Linked DNA regions of Lytechinus pictus. The protein of the gene in region 1 purifies or fractionates together with the protein of each later gene. This does not show direct contact. Links are inferred from orthologs where the notes say so. Each region holds a gene or a part of one and is shown on either strand. Other genes may lie near its edges.

What was found.
Region 2: the proteins of large ribosomal subunit protein eL13-like (region 1) and nucleolar MIF4G domain-containing protein 1-like purify together in Homo sapiens (co-immunoprecipitation; 3 studies listed by BioGRID and IntAct, with this or other methods). This does not show direct contact. The link is inferred for Lytechinus pictus from reciprocal best matches to the Homo sapiens genes RPL13 and NOM1.
Region 3: the proteins of large ribosomal subunit protein eL13-like (region 1) and large ribosomal subunit protein P1-like purify together in Homo sapiens (affinity purification with mass spectrometry; 3 studies listed by BioGRID and IntAct, with this or other methods). This does not show direct contact. The link is inferred for Lytechinus pictus from reciprocal best matches to the Homo sapiens genes RPL13 and RPLP1.

The regions. Positions count from the first base shown.
Region 1 is NC_087246.1:67,041,756-67,048,047, forward strand, and holds the start of large ribosomal subunit protein eL13-like, read left to right. Parts: upstream 1-2,766; 5' UTR 2,767-2,822; intron 2,823-5,825; 5' UTR 5,826-5,833; coding exon 5,834-6,079; intron 6,080-6,292. UniProt on the Homo sapiens protein: Component of the ribosome, a large ribonucleoprotein complex responsible for the synthesis of proteins in the cell.
Region 2 is NC_087257.1:8,961,710-8,968,001, forward strand, and holds the start of nucleolar MIF4G domain-containing protein 1-like, read right to left. Parts: upstream 3,578-6,292; 5' UTR 3,525-3,577; intron 1-3,524. Other genes in the region: general transcription and DNA repair factor IIH helicase subunit XPB-like, read left to right, coding at 3,673-3,700. UniProt on the Homo sapiens protein: Plays a role in targeting PPP1CA to the nucleolus.
Region 3 is NC_087252.1:20,860,002-20,866,293, forward strand, and holds the start of large ribosomal subunit protein P1-like, read left to right. Parts: upstream 1-2,702; 5' UTR 2,703-2,844; coding exon 2,845-2,925; intron 2,926-6,292. Other genes in the region: out at first protein-like, read right to left, coding at 2,057-2,281. UniProt on the Homo sapiens protein: Plays an important role in the elongation step of protein synthesis.

The DNA.
Region 1 (6,292 bases):
TTTTGACTTGATAGGGGCCTATACCTGATGTAATTTGCTTCAATATAAAATCATAACGGAAAGAACGCCTTGAATACAGGCCAAACAGCCTAACGACATTGCTGTGTCACGTGACAACTAGTATTAAACGAGAATGTACACAACCCTATGGCGACAAGGTTAGCCGCAAAAGTTGAGCAAGTTCTGGACAAAAAGGCTTCAGTACCCCAAGAAAAGACCAGGCGAGTACTATTTATACATTATTTTCCATAAGTAGTATCTAGGGTCTAATTTAAAAATAGATTTCGTCATGGAGCTCCATGGTAATATCTAGTAATTTAAGTCCAACTTCTGATTCGTGTGCACTCACTTTTTTAACACAGGAATTGATAGGCATGGTGCCTAGAGTGGTGATGACACTACGTCATTAAAAAAGAAGTTATGACAGGTTCGGAGGTGTCATAAATATTTAGTGAGCTATTTAGTATTGGACTTGGAGGTAGTTGTACCCGATCTTTCTGTCTGTCTTTCTTTCTTTTCCTTCCTTCATTCCTTTACTCTTATCCCGTTTTTTTTCCGGTGAAATCCACTGGGGATCAAGGGCCAGCCTGCATGCCCCCGGCGGCTTACGCCTCTGCCGTGGATGTAGACCTAAGCTATACGCATGATCTTAATCTTCATTATGATTCAAACTAGAGGCGCATCCAAGATTTTGCAAAGTGGGGGGGGGGGGGGGCTCGGGGTGAATTTTCTCAAGTAAAATTTGACAATTCTAAAAAAAGGTTCTTACCAAAAAAACCCGGTCATTTTGTCTCGCGTAAGTTAAAAAAAAAATGGTCACTCAAAATGAAAATCATTTTGTCCGCGTAATATTCGGCCCCCCACAGAAAAATAAAATAAGAAAAGGGAAAGTCATTTTGTCCACGTGATATTTGGCACCCCCCGCCCCCCCCCCCCCAAAAAAAGGTTTTAACTATAGTACCGGGCTAAAGTAATGATCGAAGGTAATTTTATCTCGTGTAGAATTTGACAAATGAAAAAAAGGTTGTCACTGAAAAATAATAATAATAATAACAAATAGAGGTATATTTTATTACCCAGAGTAACCACTTCAGTTCCGAAAACTGTTCTCCCAGCGGGCCCTGCTATTATTACCCGAGCTTTAGCTGGGCTAAAAATGAAGGTCATTTTGTCCCACGTAAAATTTGGCAAGCCCCCCCCCCCCCCCAAACAAAAAAAAACAAAAAAGGAAAATGGTTTTCAACTAATATTAGTGATCGAAGGTCATTTTGTCTCGCGTAAAATTTGACAATTTTTTTTTTAAGTTGTCACTAAAAAAGAAGGTCACTTTTTCCACCGTTATATTTGGCAAGCCCCTACCCCCATAAAAAGTTTGTCCCTAAAAGTGATGTATAGAAAGTCATATTGTTAATTTGTTCCCAGTAAAATTTGACAAGCAAAAAAAAGGCAAAAAAGAGAAAAGAATATGAACGAGATATCCCCATTACAAATAATGCTGTGATTCTCATAAGGGAGGGGGGGGGGGCACATAACTAGTATTAACAAAATATTTAATTCCAAAATGTTTACTATAAATCTCAAAAGGGGAACGGGCAGAAATGCTCACCCCCAACCCCTCCCCCCCCCCCCGATCTGCCACTGATTCCAATCAATAATGACTTTTCTCTGCAATACTGATGCTTTGAAATCAAGATACTGAAGATTGATACGCTTAACATAAATTATGAACGTCTGACAAAACGATAACCAACCGATCACCTGACCGATCAGCTGACCAGTACGCGTATCACTTCGGAGTTGATCACTCGTCGCAGCTGTGTGGAATGCTCATCGTAACAAAATGGCCGATCGAGACTGGGGTAGAGGAGAGAACTTTTCGTTTTTTTTAGGTTCCAGTCTGTGCCCAGATGTCAGGAAACTGCCACTCGTTAGACCTTCATCCATATAATCGTGGTAATTGTATACTTTCTGTTTTCACAATTCATTTGGAGAAATATTTAGACCATAAATCACCCTAGTCCGGTGACTATGGCCAAATACACGGTAAGCCCGGGCCCCTGGGCTCCCGCCCGCTGTGCGGGCGGGAGCTCCCTGGGGCTGGGTTAGGACTAGGACTAGGAGTGACTAGGAGTGGTAAAGACTAAAGAGGGCTTCACTTCACTCAGCCTTCTTGAAACGGTTAGCGGACAATTTAGTCAAGAAGTTAGACTTATGACGGTGTTGAGAAACGGGCCCCTGAAGGCTAATACAGACAGTATTGGCCGAGCCACTTTCTTTCAATTTCATGGGGGAAAAAAACACACACACAAGAAATGCAGCGTATGGGACCACGTTGTCAATCTCGCAAATCGACATCCCGTAATAATAATACGTTAAATTTAAAAGGATGTCTCGAAAAAGTAGTAGTAGGTCTCTATTCATCTCATCTCATGCCACAAGATTCCCTGCACATCACACACATACCGTAAGTGTTTGTTCAAAATAGGCCAGCTTTGGCAGCTTTTCTTTCCTTCTTAGACTTAGGAAACACGGCTTCATTTACTTCTGTACTTGGTCATGTAGGCTGCCATTTTATCTAAGATGCCAATCGTGTATAGAAATTTAAGTCAAAATCAAATTTATTAAAATCATAAATGATTAATAGAATGTATATTGAGATTTTGAAAATATATTTATTATATAATAAAATTAATATTGAAAAAAATTAAATAAATTGAGATTTTTTTATTTGAAAACAATATGATATAAAAAGGAATCTTTATTGTGCTTTAAATTGCATGTCGTACAAATATCCTTTTCTGTGAGCACTGCTGAAGCGCAGGGTCAGTTGAAATAAACATTCCATTAAAATCGTTAGGAATCTAAATCATTATTGATGGTCAAACTCTAATGTTACTTGATTCGAATAAAGTGATTACTATTTATGTAAAGTAATGATTCTAGTTTTGAACCTGTGTCCATTAAAAGTAGATAAAAGAATGAAACCATGACCGTCAATCACTGGTTAGCGAGAGCGATGCCGATAGTGTAACGCTAGTGCGGTCGCGGGTCGGGTTTGCCTTTTCAATCACGGATGATTCGTCGAATCGATGTCTGGGACTTGGATTCTGCCCTATAACTTTATGAATATGCAGGGGGAATCTGTTGCCCTTGTTCAAAATTATTGGTAGACCCTTGTTTTAAGTTCTAACGAGCCACCATCATGACCATGGCACAATTTGTTTGCAATCCAATGCCAATGCAATGGCATGCAGAGGCCTACCTCGAGCGAAGTTCGTGCAGGCTCCACTCCACTTCTCACTACCGGTACCGCTACAGCCTACACTACGCTTCACCTACCCGAACTTCGAGACCATGAACTCAATCGGATATTCCGAGTGATAAAAGGTGGGATTTTATGGGGACAAAATACAAAATTCATGCAACATCACGATCTTTAAAAACAAGTACAAGTACTACAACTGTCTAATATTCTTACTTTACACAAAGTTTCGCTTCTTTTTGATGCTTCTATAGTATCAGTCTCAAATTTGATGATTTAGAGCCAACATGAAGTTCCTCACACGTATAAATATTAATGCGCTGCCGACTTCAAAAAATCGCATGCGGGAGGTACCGGGTCTGGTCCGAGCTCGGACCCTCGCGCGCATGCGATGTTCTGAAATCGGCAGCGAATTATTACGTGTAAGGAACTTCATGTTGGCTCTAAATCATCAATTTTGAGACTGATAGAAGCATGGAAAAGAAGTGAAACTTTGTGTAAAGTAAGAATATTAGTTGTATACCCAGTTGTTGTGTGTCCGGACAGGTTGTGTGTCCGGACGATCAATTTTAGAAAGTCATTTGGAAAAATTTGAAAGCGAAGTTTCATAAATTTTTAGTACAAAATGTTATGAAATATTATAAAGAACAAAATATAAGATGATTACAAGTATTAAATTCATATTTTTAGTGTAATCCAAAGACAAAAAAGAAGGCTTCAAAAATATAAAGTGTCCGGACACCCGACCCCCCATCCTACTTGTTTTTAAAGATCGTGATGTTGCATGAATTTTGTATTTTCTCCCCATAAAATCCCACCTTTTGTCACTCGGAATATCCGATCGAGTTCATGGTCTCGAAGTTCGGGTAGGTGGAGCGTAGTGTAGCGGTAGTGAAGTGGAGTGGAGCCTGCACGAACTTCGCTCGAGGTAGCAGAGGCCATGAATCATGACAGTGCCAGTGGCTGGCACTGCCACTGGTGACTGCGCACCCAAAATTGAAACAGAGATATTCAAACGTGAATTTTCTTTCTTTTCCACACAATATCCTTATCTAGATAAAAATGTTCTAATGGCGTAGTGCATGTATTGCGGCACTGCCAAGATTTCTTAAGAAATTGAGTCAAAATTTGTTCGCAATTGCATTTCCAACCTTCATTTGAAATATCTTTGTCTTTATCACTCACTCTCAGAATAAAAACACTTGTCACTGTAACCCAGGGAGCTCCGGGCTGGAGCCCAGGACTCGTCTGTGTAATGATATTAGGCAGAGGAGGATACTCTCCAAAAATGTGGTAGAATGGGGTCACAATATCACCCCAAATGAAAGGGGAAAAAAATTATGCACTTGCCTCGATTATTATATGGATGAAGGTCAATTGTGCAACAGAATCCTGACATCCGAGGCACAAAACTAGACCTTAAAAAAAAGGAAAAGTTCTGTCTCGTCCATTCTCCTTTTTTCAAAATTGAAAACAAAATGGCCAATCATCATCGATACAGAGAAGGAACGCGACATAGACATGATAGAGGTCTAACTTCCTTTTTTTGAGTGTCCAGTTTGTGCCTCGATATCAGGATTCTGTGTCACTATAGACCTTCATCCATATAATCGGGTAAGTGCATAATTTATTTTTTCCCCTTTTATTTTGAGTGCTGTTGCGACCCCACCCATTTTGGAGAGTACCCATGTCTGCCTAGTATTACACGGACGACTCCTGGGCTCAAGCCCGCAAAGCTTCGCGGGCCGGGGCTCCCTGGGTTATTGGCATTGGAACCAAGTGTCTGTGCACCCACTCTTTGCAAATGATTGAACTGGGACTTGGAAGGGAGGCTGCATTTTGAGGTCTTGATATGATATATTATCAAAGAATGTTGGTCTAGACCTCTCTAGTGATCTTCTAGTCTACCATGTCTAATGCCAATGGCCACAAAAAGTTATGAATCATGATCTGCAATGTGGAGACAAATAGACCCTATTCATAAAAAAAGAGTAAAAAACCTTGTTCTCATTACAAATCGTATCAATGAGTGGTTCCCCAGATGCCAGAACATGATTATTGAGCTATCACATTGTGAATGTTCTAAATAACAGATTTCATGGGTAGGCCTAAATGCAGTCTCCCCATAAATAATTTAATCCTGTGTTTATATGGACAAAAATGTGGCAACATTGTTTTTGTTTGTATTGTTTTTATATTCCATCCCAAATACCAGCCTGCATTGTTTTACATGCAAAAAATCCTTTCTTTGAAAGTTGCATGATCTTTGATGTTTTTCTGATCATCAGATCTAAATCGACATTTATATTTCTATTTTTTTCATTTATTAGCATCACATTGAAATGGAAATCGTCATACTCATGCACCATATTATGCCGTTAATTTGCAAAGCCAAAGCCTTTCTTGCAAAATCTTTCAATTTTAAAAGAAAAGTTAATCGATTGAAACAAACTTTAAATATGAAATTGCCAAGTTTCATTTCATTACAAATTACTTGTAGTTTACAAATCATTGACATGATTTGAATTGAAATTTTTTATGACCTTTTTTCCCTTGACTACAGATTTCACCATGACTCGCAAGGGAAACAGAGTCCTTCCAAATGTCCATTTCCGTAAGGAATGGCAAAACTATGTCAGGACCTGGTTTGATCAACCAGCCCGCAAGAAGCGGCGACACAACACCCGTGTGCAGAAGGCACGGAAGATTGCCCCCAAACCCATCGCAGGAGCACTAAGACCCCAAGTTACTTGTCAGACGTTCAAGTACCACACCAAGCTGAGGGAGGGACGTGGCTTCACTCTTGAAGAGCTCAAGGTACTGTATGACCATCTTTAAATATGTCTTGGTCAATTCTTCAGGGATTGATAATTTGCTTCACTTGTACAACATGATGTGACTGACTAGACTGAAAATGCAAAAGAAGGCATACAAAAAGATACCAGCTAGGCTTGAGAAAGTAATGTAGGGAATCATCACAACCATCTCTTCACTCTGGTGACATGACATTTGCTCCTGCGACATTAGCTC
Region 2 (6,292 bases), on another chromosome or scaffold:
CAATCAAAAACAAGGAAAATTGTATGAACTATAAAATGAACTAACCCTATTTAAAAATAAGAACCAATCAGAGAATAGAGAAGGGTGATCATGAGTTAAACTGAATCCTAATGAGAATTAAACAATAAGACCATGTGGAATGGAAAGCTAATGGAACACCAGGAAGCATGACTGAGGGGAAACTGAATGAAAGAATGAAATGCAATGAACCTGTGTTGCTATGTGAGATGTATTGTGGAGATTGAATGAAAGATGAGATCATGGGCCTGCTGCATGAAAGGGTCTTTCGTAGAACCATTCTACGTAAGAACGAGATATCGCTCAACTGTTTCACAAAGCCGATTTGGGCGATACGAAGAATGGTCCTTGGAAAGACACCTCCAGACATGTCCTCAGAGGCATGATCTTCTTTGCACACCGCCCCGCCACCGTCGGCATTGAGAGAAAATGCGTTTACGGCAAGCCACACTCACTGACATATCACCTTTAAACATTTTTTGGTGTTGCACACTGATGCATTTTATCCGTGGCACCAAGTTATTTTTTTATATGGGGGCTACATGTAGTTGTCATCAATTTCAGGTCGTCTTTTTGCACGGCAAGACGACCAAAAACAGATGTCACTTTAACTTCTCCGGGGTATTATGTCCGGGGTAAAGTAGGCCCAAATATTTTTTTAATATGTTTTCTTTTATTCTCCCTCCGTCCTATCCCCACACCATTTCCATTAATTTTTTTTTTAATATCGAAATGGGTGGCACTATCTCTCTGATCCCTCATGCTTTCTCATAATTAAACAACATGAAAACATTTTTTTTTAAAGAAATTATGTAAGGTAAAAAAGTATTTATATGACGTTCAGCAAAAAAAACATGATACAAACTTAAATGTTAAACATGGTAAATCATTTATTTATTTTTATTTAATTTTCATTATAATTATTATTTTTTGGCTGAAATTAATTTTAATCAATGAAAATTAATTGTCGGATTTGGGCTAATTGAGATGTGAAACAGTGAAACAATACAAAAAATCTGCAGTAACAAAATAGCTAATTGAATTTAAGATATAGATTAGGCCTATATCTTACAAATCCATCACAATCATTACAAATGAAGATAAGTTCATTAAAGAAAAGATTATGGAAAATCCATACAAAGAGGCGCATTTTAAATCGTCGGGTATGCCCCTTTCGGCCCCCATGTATAATGTTAAAGCAATAATGTAGTCTTTACTCCTCAACTTTGAACATATATATTTTTTATATTCTTACACCTTATATTCTTATATTAGCTTCCAGTGATCGACTTTAAAGATGACCTCCCGGAGGGGCCACTTCCATTGACGAGTGGATACCATGCGCGACCACGGGGTTTTGAAAAGCACCCTAAACACGTATTTTCCATATTCTGAAAATGCACCCCTTAACAAGTATTGGCGTGTGAAACCCTAACCTTAACAAGTATTAGAAACCGAATACTATTGGCAATTATTTCCAGAATTGAGCCCCTAAACAAGTACAGCGATATTTTATTGTTATGTCACGGGTCCGTCGGTCGTCGGTTTTACCTTTATACACACCATTATTTTGGTTTAGTCGGCCCCACCTTCCACATCTCGCGCAAATCGGACTCTAAACACGTAGTGTTGGGGCAAAAAGGACATCCTTTATCAAACATTTTTATTTTGTTTTATCATCCCCGAATATTTGACCCTAAACACGTATATAGATACCCTTTTATCAATATTTTTGTGTTTTTGACACCCTTATCACGTTACGTACGTAACGTGCCCTATCTTGAAAAAAGACATCCTTTTTACGTGTTTTTTTGGTCGCGCATGGTATCCACTCGTCAATGTAAGTGGCCCCCCCGGGGATGACCTTTATGATCATTGTAATTTTTAGCATTATTTCTGTAAATAGTATTTTTTTCCATTCGGATTGCACACCTTTTTCTATGTTTTAATTATTTTTGCAAAGCACTACTTTATCCACTTGGACATGTTTGCAGCAATTTTCATATTTTCCTTGTCTTCGGTTACTCATCATGCAACTGAGGTATGTTTATACTCTAAACACTCACATTTGTATTTCTTGCGTTATATCTGACAAATAAAATAAATAAATTAGATTTTTCACAGGCAGCCTCTCATATTTTCCTTTTTAGTCTCATACAATCAGACACTGTTGATTTTGTTTACTCCATTCAAACCCTATTTTTACCTCAACAGATAACATATTAACGCATAATTTGCAAAATCATCATTATATATATGTATTCTATAAAAATACAGAATACTGAACTAATCAAATGTCGAAATTACTTAGTTAAATCAATTTTATGTCAGACAAGGGTCTCTTTCGTTGAAATATCAATGAAAGGTGTCTCTAAAAGGACACCGTGTTCTGAATAAGGGAAATAATGATAATTTCGATCTTATCCAGTTATGTTTGTGAATCTTGAATTTTTTTCTCTTTTTACCTCATAAATTAAGCTCCATGTACATCAATTCTACAATCAGTAATAAATAAAATATTATTTGATCCCCTTTTATTGAAATATATGATTTTATGAAAAGTCGTCATTCCGAAATAAAAGGTTCAGGTGACGATGAAGACTAAATATTTTTCCGATACTATCGATATCAAACGATGTCGCGGACTTGAAAGACAAAATTGCCTTCGTGAAACGGAAAGCGCTGATTTGTCACCAATCTTCCTATCTCGGAAGAATGGTCCTAGGACGTTCCTACGTATCGCTCATCTTGTCATGCAACAGGCCCCATGAGGCATGACAATGTATGTGGATTGTGAGGATGGAAAGAAGGATGAGATGAGTTGGAATGGAAATAAACAAGTTGAATGTAAACAATAAAGTATGGAAAGCCAAATGCAAGAGTACAGATTAGAGAAATAAACCCAGCAAAATTTACTGTTACACTATGACGTACAATATCGCACAATGTCAATGACTGGAGGTAATCATAATTATATTGTATCTCGCTATATCGATATATGACAGTTCAGACTAGTCCAACGCCAAGGACATTCATTTTGAAGCGGGAATTAAGCAACTCGGAAAAGACCTGGCGCATAATCTACTACTAACTAGTACTAGATTGAAGAGCGCCAACCTAACTCCAACACCAACCAACCTGTGCAGGCCAGTTGACATAGGCATAGCCATTGGCCATCCATCCATATCCTCACACACACATGTGCGCGTGTGGGAACTTGCTGGGATGGGAGACGGGCCCAGCCCAGGGCAGCTAGCTTGCGGGTCGGCCCGGGGGATTCAAGTGGTAAGCGCCGATGCAGCTGCAGGACAGACCGCGTGCTCAGGCTCAGCATGCAATCTGATTCGCCCACGTTTTCATTTTCGACTTTATCTTGCAAATGTCTGCTTGATCTTATGCAAAAAATATGGCATGCCACAACTATTATTGATTATGACTTAAAAATGTACTTTAAATCTGATATTCTAAATTCCAGATAATGCAGTTTTCTCATTGTTATTACTCACTGGTTCAGCAGCGCGGTATCTCGCTTGAAGTTGTACCAACTCGACTCTTGCGCAATACTGGCGACAGTTTTGGCCGTAGGCAGGCGCAGGCGGTTAGGGGCGGTTAGACATCCACATTCTGAAATATATCAACAATTTTCTGAATGCAATGGGAAAACGGGATCGTAAAGACGGTGGTACGTATGTCCCATTACTTTTCAAGAATACTATGATATTACTTAGGTATGAGAAAATTGTCGGTAGGCTTTAAAAATCAGCACTTTTCCGTCACTTTTCGGGAAGTGCGAAAGTGGACTTTACTTTAGGCCTAGTCCCTTACATAGAGAACCGTGTTATACGCTTGGAATGCGGATAGAAACGCGCAGAATCCATTGCAATAAAGGCGTGTGCGATTATTGCGCCTGCATGCTACATGGGCTAAACACGTTTTTGTGAAGCTGTGTATGAATTTCACATTGACTCAGTCGCCTGATATAGGCAGTAGAGGCGCACGGCCAATATGGGAGACTCTCTCCAATAGGGGAGACAATCTCCCACATTGGAGACTTGCTTTGCAAAAGGACAAAAGAAACAACACCAACAAAAGCATGATTTTTTCCACCCAAAATTTTGTCTCACTGAGGTCAGAAGCCCATTTGTTTTGTGTGTGATTGACAACAAAAATCCTTATCAAAACAAAAGTAGACGGTGAATTTTTAAAGTAGATGGTAAAAAGGGGCAATTTTTCATGAGGAATCTGCTTATCACATTTTTATTTGCCGCCAAGGTAATCCTTTTGCAGCAAATGTAAACAAAGGAAATTGGTCTCCAAAACTGGAGACTGTCTCTGAATTTGGATACCCAAATTCTTTACAAAAGTCTCTGATATTGGAGATAATCTCCCACATTGGAGACAGTCTCCAATATTGGCCGTGCGCCTCTACTGATAGGGGAGCCGGGAGTCGCATCTTGTTCATTTCTTGTAACACAGGTCAGCAGGTTGTCACAAAAGGAAAAGAACTCTTCTCCCAGAGTCACAGCTCTTTAATTATTCTTCACCCTAAGCCTAAATCATGTAAATGGGCATGAATGGGCATGATGGGATACAACTACAAGTAAAACTTCATTTCCGACATTTATACGACATTGAATGATTGATGTCATTTTTGTCTCGCCTGCATTGCAGAGCGAGACGATAGGCGCCGCTTTTCCGACGACGGCGGCGTCGTCAACATGGAATTTCTTAACCAATATGACCAAAGTTAAGTTCATACATTAAAACATACGGGTAATCAAGTATTACTGAACATCCTGCCTGAGTTTCAGGTCACATGACAAAGGTCATTTAGGGTCAATGAACTTCGACCATGTTGGGGAAATCAATATCAAAATCTTAACCAAGGTTAAGTTTTTGAAATGTCATAACTTATAAGTATATGGACCTAGTTCATGAAACTTGGACATAAGGTTGATAGTGTATTACTGAAGATCCTTCATGAGTTTCAGGTAACATGACCAAGGTCAAAGGTCACTTAGGGTCAACAAACTTTGACCATGTTGGGGGTATTTGTGGAATTGTCATCATAACTTTGACATTTTATGGATCTAGTTCATGAAACTTAGAAATAAGAGCAATTAAGTAACCCTGAAAATCCTGTGCGAGTTTCAGGTCACATGACCTAGGTCAAAGGTAATTTAGGGGGCAACGAACTTTTATAATGTTGGGGTTATTTGTGGAATTGTCATCATAACTTAAAAGTTTATAGATCTAGTTCATGAAACTTGGGACATAAGAGTAACCATGTTGTCAGGCACTCAGAATAAAAAGAATAAAATTACTGTATCAAATTGAAGTACTGGTTTATTAACATAATAATCAGTCTATTTTTCAAGGTTTACAATACAATCATCTTTATCGTTCACTCTTGTGACGCTAGCATGCAGTATCAAATCAGTTACAAGACGTGAAATAATTTTACAACCAAGTGTAAAGTGGTAGTGAAACATATGCAATCTCCAAGGGTAATCTGTTACAGATTTGGGTTTGCAATTTGTTCTGATTGTAATACAAAGTGATTGCCCTTTAAAACATTTCACAATAACTACCGGGCCGGTATGGTATAAAAATCTATTCCAAGTAGGAAAGGGTTTATGTAATGTCCAGTTCAAAGGGAAGAAGAGAAATGCTCACTGATTCAAGTTCAGGTGTAGTAAGTTCATGGTAATCAACTGCTTACCCGGCCAGTCAACTAGACCTATTCATTTTACCGAACATTTCACTCGTTGACAAAGTGGATCTTAATCCTATCGTTTTATGTTGGTAGATGTCCCCATGGTTCCGTGATCCGTTGAAATATGGAGCACTTGTAAACATCCCCCTCACTCAGGTTGGGGCCACGTAGCAGCAGGTGAAATACACCAGTTTGTCCACAAAGATTATTATATTGCCCCTCCAGAACGGATGATACGGAAGGGTTCTTCCGGGAGTTTGCCCATAAATTAGGAGCCACCTGAAAATTACAGCAAACTTCCTTATGACTGAACAGGCTACACATTAAAGTAAAACCAAACATAAATACAAATTCTCATTAGCATTAATCTGTCACTTCTTAACATCAACTTTGTCCTCATCAATCAGGTCAGAATGTTTTTAGCAAAATCTCTTTTTGTGATTACATAAATTTGTGATTTAAATATATACCGTATTTTCCGGTGTATTAACCGCACCTTTTTCTGTCGGGGAAAACCTCGAAAATGGGGGGTGCGGTTTATACACGAACACAGAGAAA
Region 3 (6,292 bases), on another chromosome or scaffold:
GTTGGTGTTGAGAGCATGAAAACTGAAAAGACTGCTGAACCGAGCTCGAACACCGAGCTGAGTTCAGAGGAGCGATACCGATCGTGTAGCGATAGCCTATGACATCACGCCTCTGCACTGCACTGCTGATCATCTCAACTTTATGTGAGAAATTCTCCACGACGAAAGTGAAATCGGGAAGAAATTGCAAGAAAATCTTATCGTACAGAATGCAAAGGTTAAAATCACTGCAAGGAATCAGAAAGCATAAATATTACTTTTCATTAAAATGTATAAAACTCTTAATGATTTGCGCTCATCTTAACTAAAACTAAAGTAAAAGATAATTTTACAAGGATGTTTCGTCGTGTTCGCCGCCTGTTCGTGAGCTACATCATACATGTACAGTATACAGTTCATCACATCAACATCAACACCAACTTGAAATCATGATTTTCCTAATTTAACACCAGCTGTAAAATTACACTGTAACGCTCGGTTCAGCAGACGACATTCAACACCAGCGCTCAACAAGAACTGCCGGAAATGCGTCATATTTTCCGAGGTCAATCCCAACACCAGCGTGATTTCAAGTACGGTGTTGTTGTGTTGTCACAATTTGTGACTTAACCAACACAATTTCAACACCGTAATTGAAATCACCCACTCACTGGAGTGTCAGTGATCAGTGACTGAGCGAGATCATTTTATTGAGCTCAAGGGAGGTTGATATTGATCCACCATTTAATTTAAAGGAGAATGAAACTCTTGGAGCAAGTTAGCTTTTGTGAAAGCAGAAAAATCAAAGAATAAGATCAACAAAACTTTGAGTAAAATAGGACTAGCAATAAAAGAGTTATGAGCATTTGAATGTCGAGATCACTAATGCTATGGAGATCCTCCCATTGGCAATGCGACCAAGATCTGTGATGTCACACACGTACAACTCTCCCATTCGGACACTGAAAATATACCCCAAAACATCTCTTTTTGCTCATTCTTATCATATGACAAACGATTCATCAATTAATGATATAATGTTGTGAAACCTCTGTACTTGTCATCTCATAAAGAAAACACCTAACCTTGTGATAGACTCTATAAAAGTGAGAATATAAGTGAAATAAGTACTAAAGTAATGACGGAGTTGTACGTGTGTGATATCACAGATCTTGGTCGCATTGCCGATGGGAGGATCTACATGGCACTAGTGATCTCAATATTCAAATGCTCATAACTTTCTTATTATTCATTCAATCTTCCTCAAACTTTCAACAATATGTTTCTTTGATTTTTCTCTTTGATATGGATTCAGCTAGTTTCAAGGGTTTCATTCTCCTTTAAATCATTTTTATTTATTCATCATCATCATCATCTGATACGGGAGTGAGATAATGCCTTCCTGTAAATCTCCCGGTCGTCAACGATCACGACTTCTAACAGTAGAGGCGCACGGCCAATATGGGAGACTCTCTCCAATAGGGGAGACAATCTCCCACATTGGAGACAATCTCCCACATTGGACTCTTTGGAGACTTGTCTTGCAAAAGGACAAAAGAAACAACACCAACAAAAGCATGATTTTTTTTCCACCCAAAATTTTGTCTCACTGGACTGAGGTCAGAAGCCCATTTGACTTGTTTTGTGTGTGATTGACAACTTAAATCCTTGACAAAACAAAAGTAGACGGTGAATTTTTAATTAAAGTAGACGGTGAAAAGGGGTAATTTTTCATGAGGAATATCTGCTTATCACATTTTTATTTTCCGCCAAGGTAATCCTTTTGCAGCAAATGTAAACAAAGAAAATTGGTCTCCAAAACTGGAGACTGTCTCTGAAATTGGATACCCAAATTCTTTACAAAAGTCTCTGATATTGGAGACAGTCTCCAGTCCAAGTCCAATTAAAATATTGGCCGTGCGCCTCTACTTACTCTAAGTTCTACTCTTTAATACGTGGTTTGTGAGACTGGATCAACTGTGTTACAGTGTATATACAACGGTTTAATGCCTATGATGACTCTAAACTTAAAATCTACCCAATCCATCCAGCAAGCATTTTTTTTTGCTTCACTTACCGATTTGAAATCAATGACCATTTTCACAAGTGTGCCATCAAGCTTTTGAAACTGCAAATAAATCACATCGCGTTTGACATCAGCGTTTATACTCTCTTGAACAAGGTCACCACCGTCGTTTTTCACGTTGATTACCAGTTGACACATAACTCTGTGATTCAACATACAAAATAAAGCAATTAGTCCCCAAAGGAACCCCATTAAATTGAAATAATATCGCAACATTTTAGAGTGTTCGTTTCTCCTTCCACAGCCCAAATACAGCCATAATTCACATTAGCAGAGCGCGCGCGCGCGCTATGGGAAAACAGTGTAAAGCCGTATCCTGGTATCAGCCTACCTTTATCGCGCCGGACTTCTAGGGGATCAGACGATTGTAGTTCCGTTAGCCACGAAACTTGGGGCCATTAACATTACGCACGGATGACAGGAATAATCCACTTTTGTAAAAGTTAAATGTGCTGAAATAATTCTTATACATATATCAAAATAACATCTCTCGATATCAGATTCGATTAGTAAAATAAAGGATTTTTATAATATATTTGATCTGAAGATACTGTTTAAAAAAACAATTACAATCGACTTTTAAATGTTTTTTTAAATAAAAAATAAAAAGATCCCACCCAAAATTAATGAACTTGTCCTTTCCACAGACCTCTTGCAACACGGATAGAAACAAGGTGCACAGTTCTCTATCGAGCTAAGGCCAAAATCGGCGACGTGTACCATTTTTCTTTGCCATCAAGTACTGATTTCCCAAGAAATCAAGCCACTAAATATCAAAGATGTCTTCTGAGGACAATACTTCTGAGCTTGCCTGCGTTTACAGCGCTCTTATCCTCCAAGATGATGAGGTCCCAATCACGGTAATACTTCCCCCATAGTGTGTGCCCATGTATAAAGTTTTGTGTAATGTCCGCGAAGCTAAAAGTTTAAAACCTTCAGCATGGCTTATATAAGTTAATTGCAGATTACACCCCATAAAGTTGAATGGGTAGACACTTTCTATTTGGCAAGTATGCCTTGTTCGAAAAGTGGTGGGTGGGGTGTATCCTTAATATACGTATTCTGCACTTGTCATGGACATGGCTAGGCTCCATGCGTGTTGCCAATCAATGGCAATGCCATGGCCATGCCCATGTTACTACAACTTATTATAAAATAGCTGTATTATTTCAAGCATCGCGATTGGTCAATACGCGTCACATGACATCCAACTTTTTTTGTGCACTGCACGGTAGTGCAAAAGGTGTGCAACGAAAATTGACATTGCACGCTCGAGCAAACCAGTGCGGTAAAGTCCAACAAAACTGTACTGTAAGTTTTTTAAAAATTGTTTCTGTGTTGCTATTTCATAAAACAAATAATGCACTTGCTCTGTCTTGCATAAAACTTAAAAGTAAATGCAGAGAAAGCTCGGTTTCTTCAGATGGAGCACACTGGGCACTCGCCGCAAGCGGCTCGTGCACAGTGCGACTCCTATCTAAAGAAACCTCGCGTGCTCTGCATTTCCACTAACGCACTCGGCTGCATGCATTATTTGTATACTATTTACATCGTTGGCTGTTAAACGTTATTCGTTAATGTTGCTGATGAAGAACGCATAAAAGATTATTCTTAATCTTAGTCTCAGATGGTCCAGTATGGCAGTAAAAACTGTAGGCCTACTAAAAAAGTAAAAGTTGGACTCAATGTCTCAATCCAATTTTGATATGTTTGAACTTTGTTGAATGAGTCTGTTTTCTGTGGTGTGCAGGTGTGAATATGGAATGCCTGAAAGTTTGTGTGATGATGTACAATAATTCAACAGTTGGGGTAGAGAAACTAGCCCGAATTTTAAATGTCAATTTGTCTAACTTATTTCACAGGCCATGCAGCACAGACCCAGTCCAAAAAAAAAGAAGAAAAAAAGAAAGATTAACAGAAAAGAAATAATGAGAAGGAAAAAAAAGGATGAAGGGAAAGAAGCTTTTTCATTTCATCCTCTCAATTCAAAGAAGGCTCCAAATTAAAGCAGTGGCAAAAAGAGTCAATTTTTTTACTGGTGTCCAACACCACAAGACAGAAGGAGAATCACCACAGGAGCCTCAGGAGGAAAGTCCAGATTTCAACTCCAAAACCAAAATCCCCTTTGAAAAGTTGGCAAATGTTGCCCTACAAATACAGAATCTGTGCCGCATTTCCAGGGCAAGCAGCAGCTTAGCTCAGTCAGATATAAGAAGCGGGGTCGCCAAGAAATGCACTGAAAATGATGAAATCTGTGGTTCCAAATTTTTAATGTTCCCACAAATTTAGAATATCTTGTATCTTCTAAATGATATAAGAAAAAAATATGAACCCCAGAAAAGCTCAACCGCATTGAATCTGCACCGAAATCAAATCTACGGCATGCTAGTGGGTTGCCTTCATAGTTCCACAGGGGTTCTGCATGTAATGTGGGCTGAATGGCCACTGCAACTTCTGGGGGTTGCATACCGTATCGCGTGCGGCTCTTGCACACACTGTCAAAGTGGGGTACTGGCGAATCACAGCCGCAAAACATGGAGATACATTGTCAGTAGAGGCGCACGGCCAATATTGGAGACTATACTATCTCCAATGTGGGAGATTATCTCCAATATCAGAGACTTTTGTAAAGAATTTTGGTATCCAATTTTAGAGACAGTCTCCAGTTTTGGAGTCCAATTTCCTTTGTTTACATTTGCTGCAAAACAATTACCTTGGCGGCAAATAAAAATGTGATAAGCAGATTTCTCATTAAAAATTACCCCTTTTCACTGTCTACTTTAAAAATTCACAGTCTACTTTTGTTTTGATAAGGATTTTTGTTGTCAATCACACACAGAACAAATGGGCTTCTGACCTCAGTGAGACAAAATTTTGGGTGGAAAAAATCATGTTTTTGTTGGTGTTTCTTTTGTCCTTTTGCAAAGCAAGTCTCCAATGTGGGAGATTGTCTCCCCTATTGGAGAGAGTCTCCCATATTGGCCTTGTGCCTCTACTGATTGTATCAGGGAATTCTCTGTTTCCATTGTTAGATTTGTATGAAATATTGAGGTGGAAGTTGAAAATAAAATTGCTTTGAAAGTAGACAAATATATTCAACAAACATTGATACAAAATTTCATTTTGTGAAAAGACATGTAAGATAAAAAAAAAATGTTGCAGAAAATCTAAACATGCCAGTCGAAATTTGGGCAACAAATGAGTCTAAGAAACCGGCTCATGGGGGGGGGGGGGGGGGCATCATATGGCATGATAACAGTTGTAGATCAAAGGAGAGTTGAGTATAAAATTAAAAGAGGGAGGAAAGTGGAGAATCTGCAGTGTGAGCTAATTTCCAAGGCAGAAAGGATAAGAAAGAACTTTTAGGGGGATAAAAACAAGATGCTATGAGAGAAAGTAGAATTTATAGTGTTAATCGATCCAAGGTGAAATCTTGGTGGTTTTTGGCCAAAGATGGTTCCAAATGGTTTCAGAGTGATAATTGTTTACCTTGGATAGATCTACAAATTATACACGAATCATTTGTACACTACAATAAAACACTGTAAAGTGAGTGGATGAACTATGCTGAAAGTCAAAATGTCCTAACTTTGCTTTCATAAAATCTAATGAATTATACATGCATATCATATGAAAGAGAATAGTGTAGCCTTCGTTTTCCACCTCAGTAACAGTTATACATGAATGATAGTGATAGTCATTGACATTTAGTGAGATAGTGCATATTTTCATACCTTTCTGTGATCATTGAAGCGTAACTAACAATGCTTCAATAATCACAACTTATTATTTATTTTTTCTGAGAGTCGAGAGGATATGCTTTAATTTCATATAAAGTTTGGATCCTTTGCTATTTTTACAGGAAATGAAATATGAAAATGAATCTAATAACATCTTGGTACAAAAGTCAATGAGGTGACACCAGTCAGATATTCATTCGTTTTTAAATCGTTTGCGAAATGCGTGATGATTGAAATATTAGGAACTGTATATCAACTGAAATGTTGCTCGCTACATGTATGTTTGAAAAATTTGCAAATGATTTTCGACCAATGCACAGACCCCCCCCCCCCCATCTTGTGCCTTCCCTCTCTTGTCTCTATCTTCCTCTTTCTCACTCCCTCCCCCCCCCCCCCCCCCCGCCCCAAAGCCTTTTCTTTCAACTTCAAGCTGTCCTAAAGTCAGATACATTAACTGGCATCCTTGGATTGACCGACTCTGATCCAT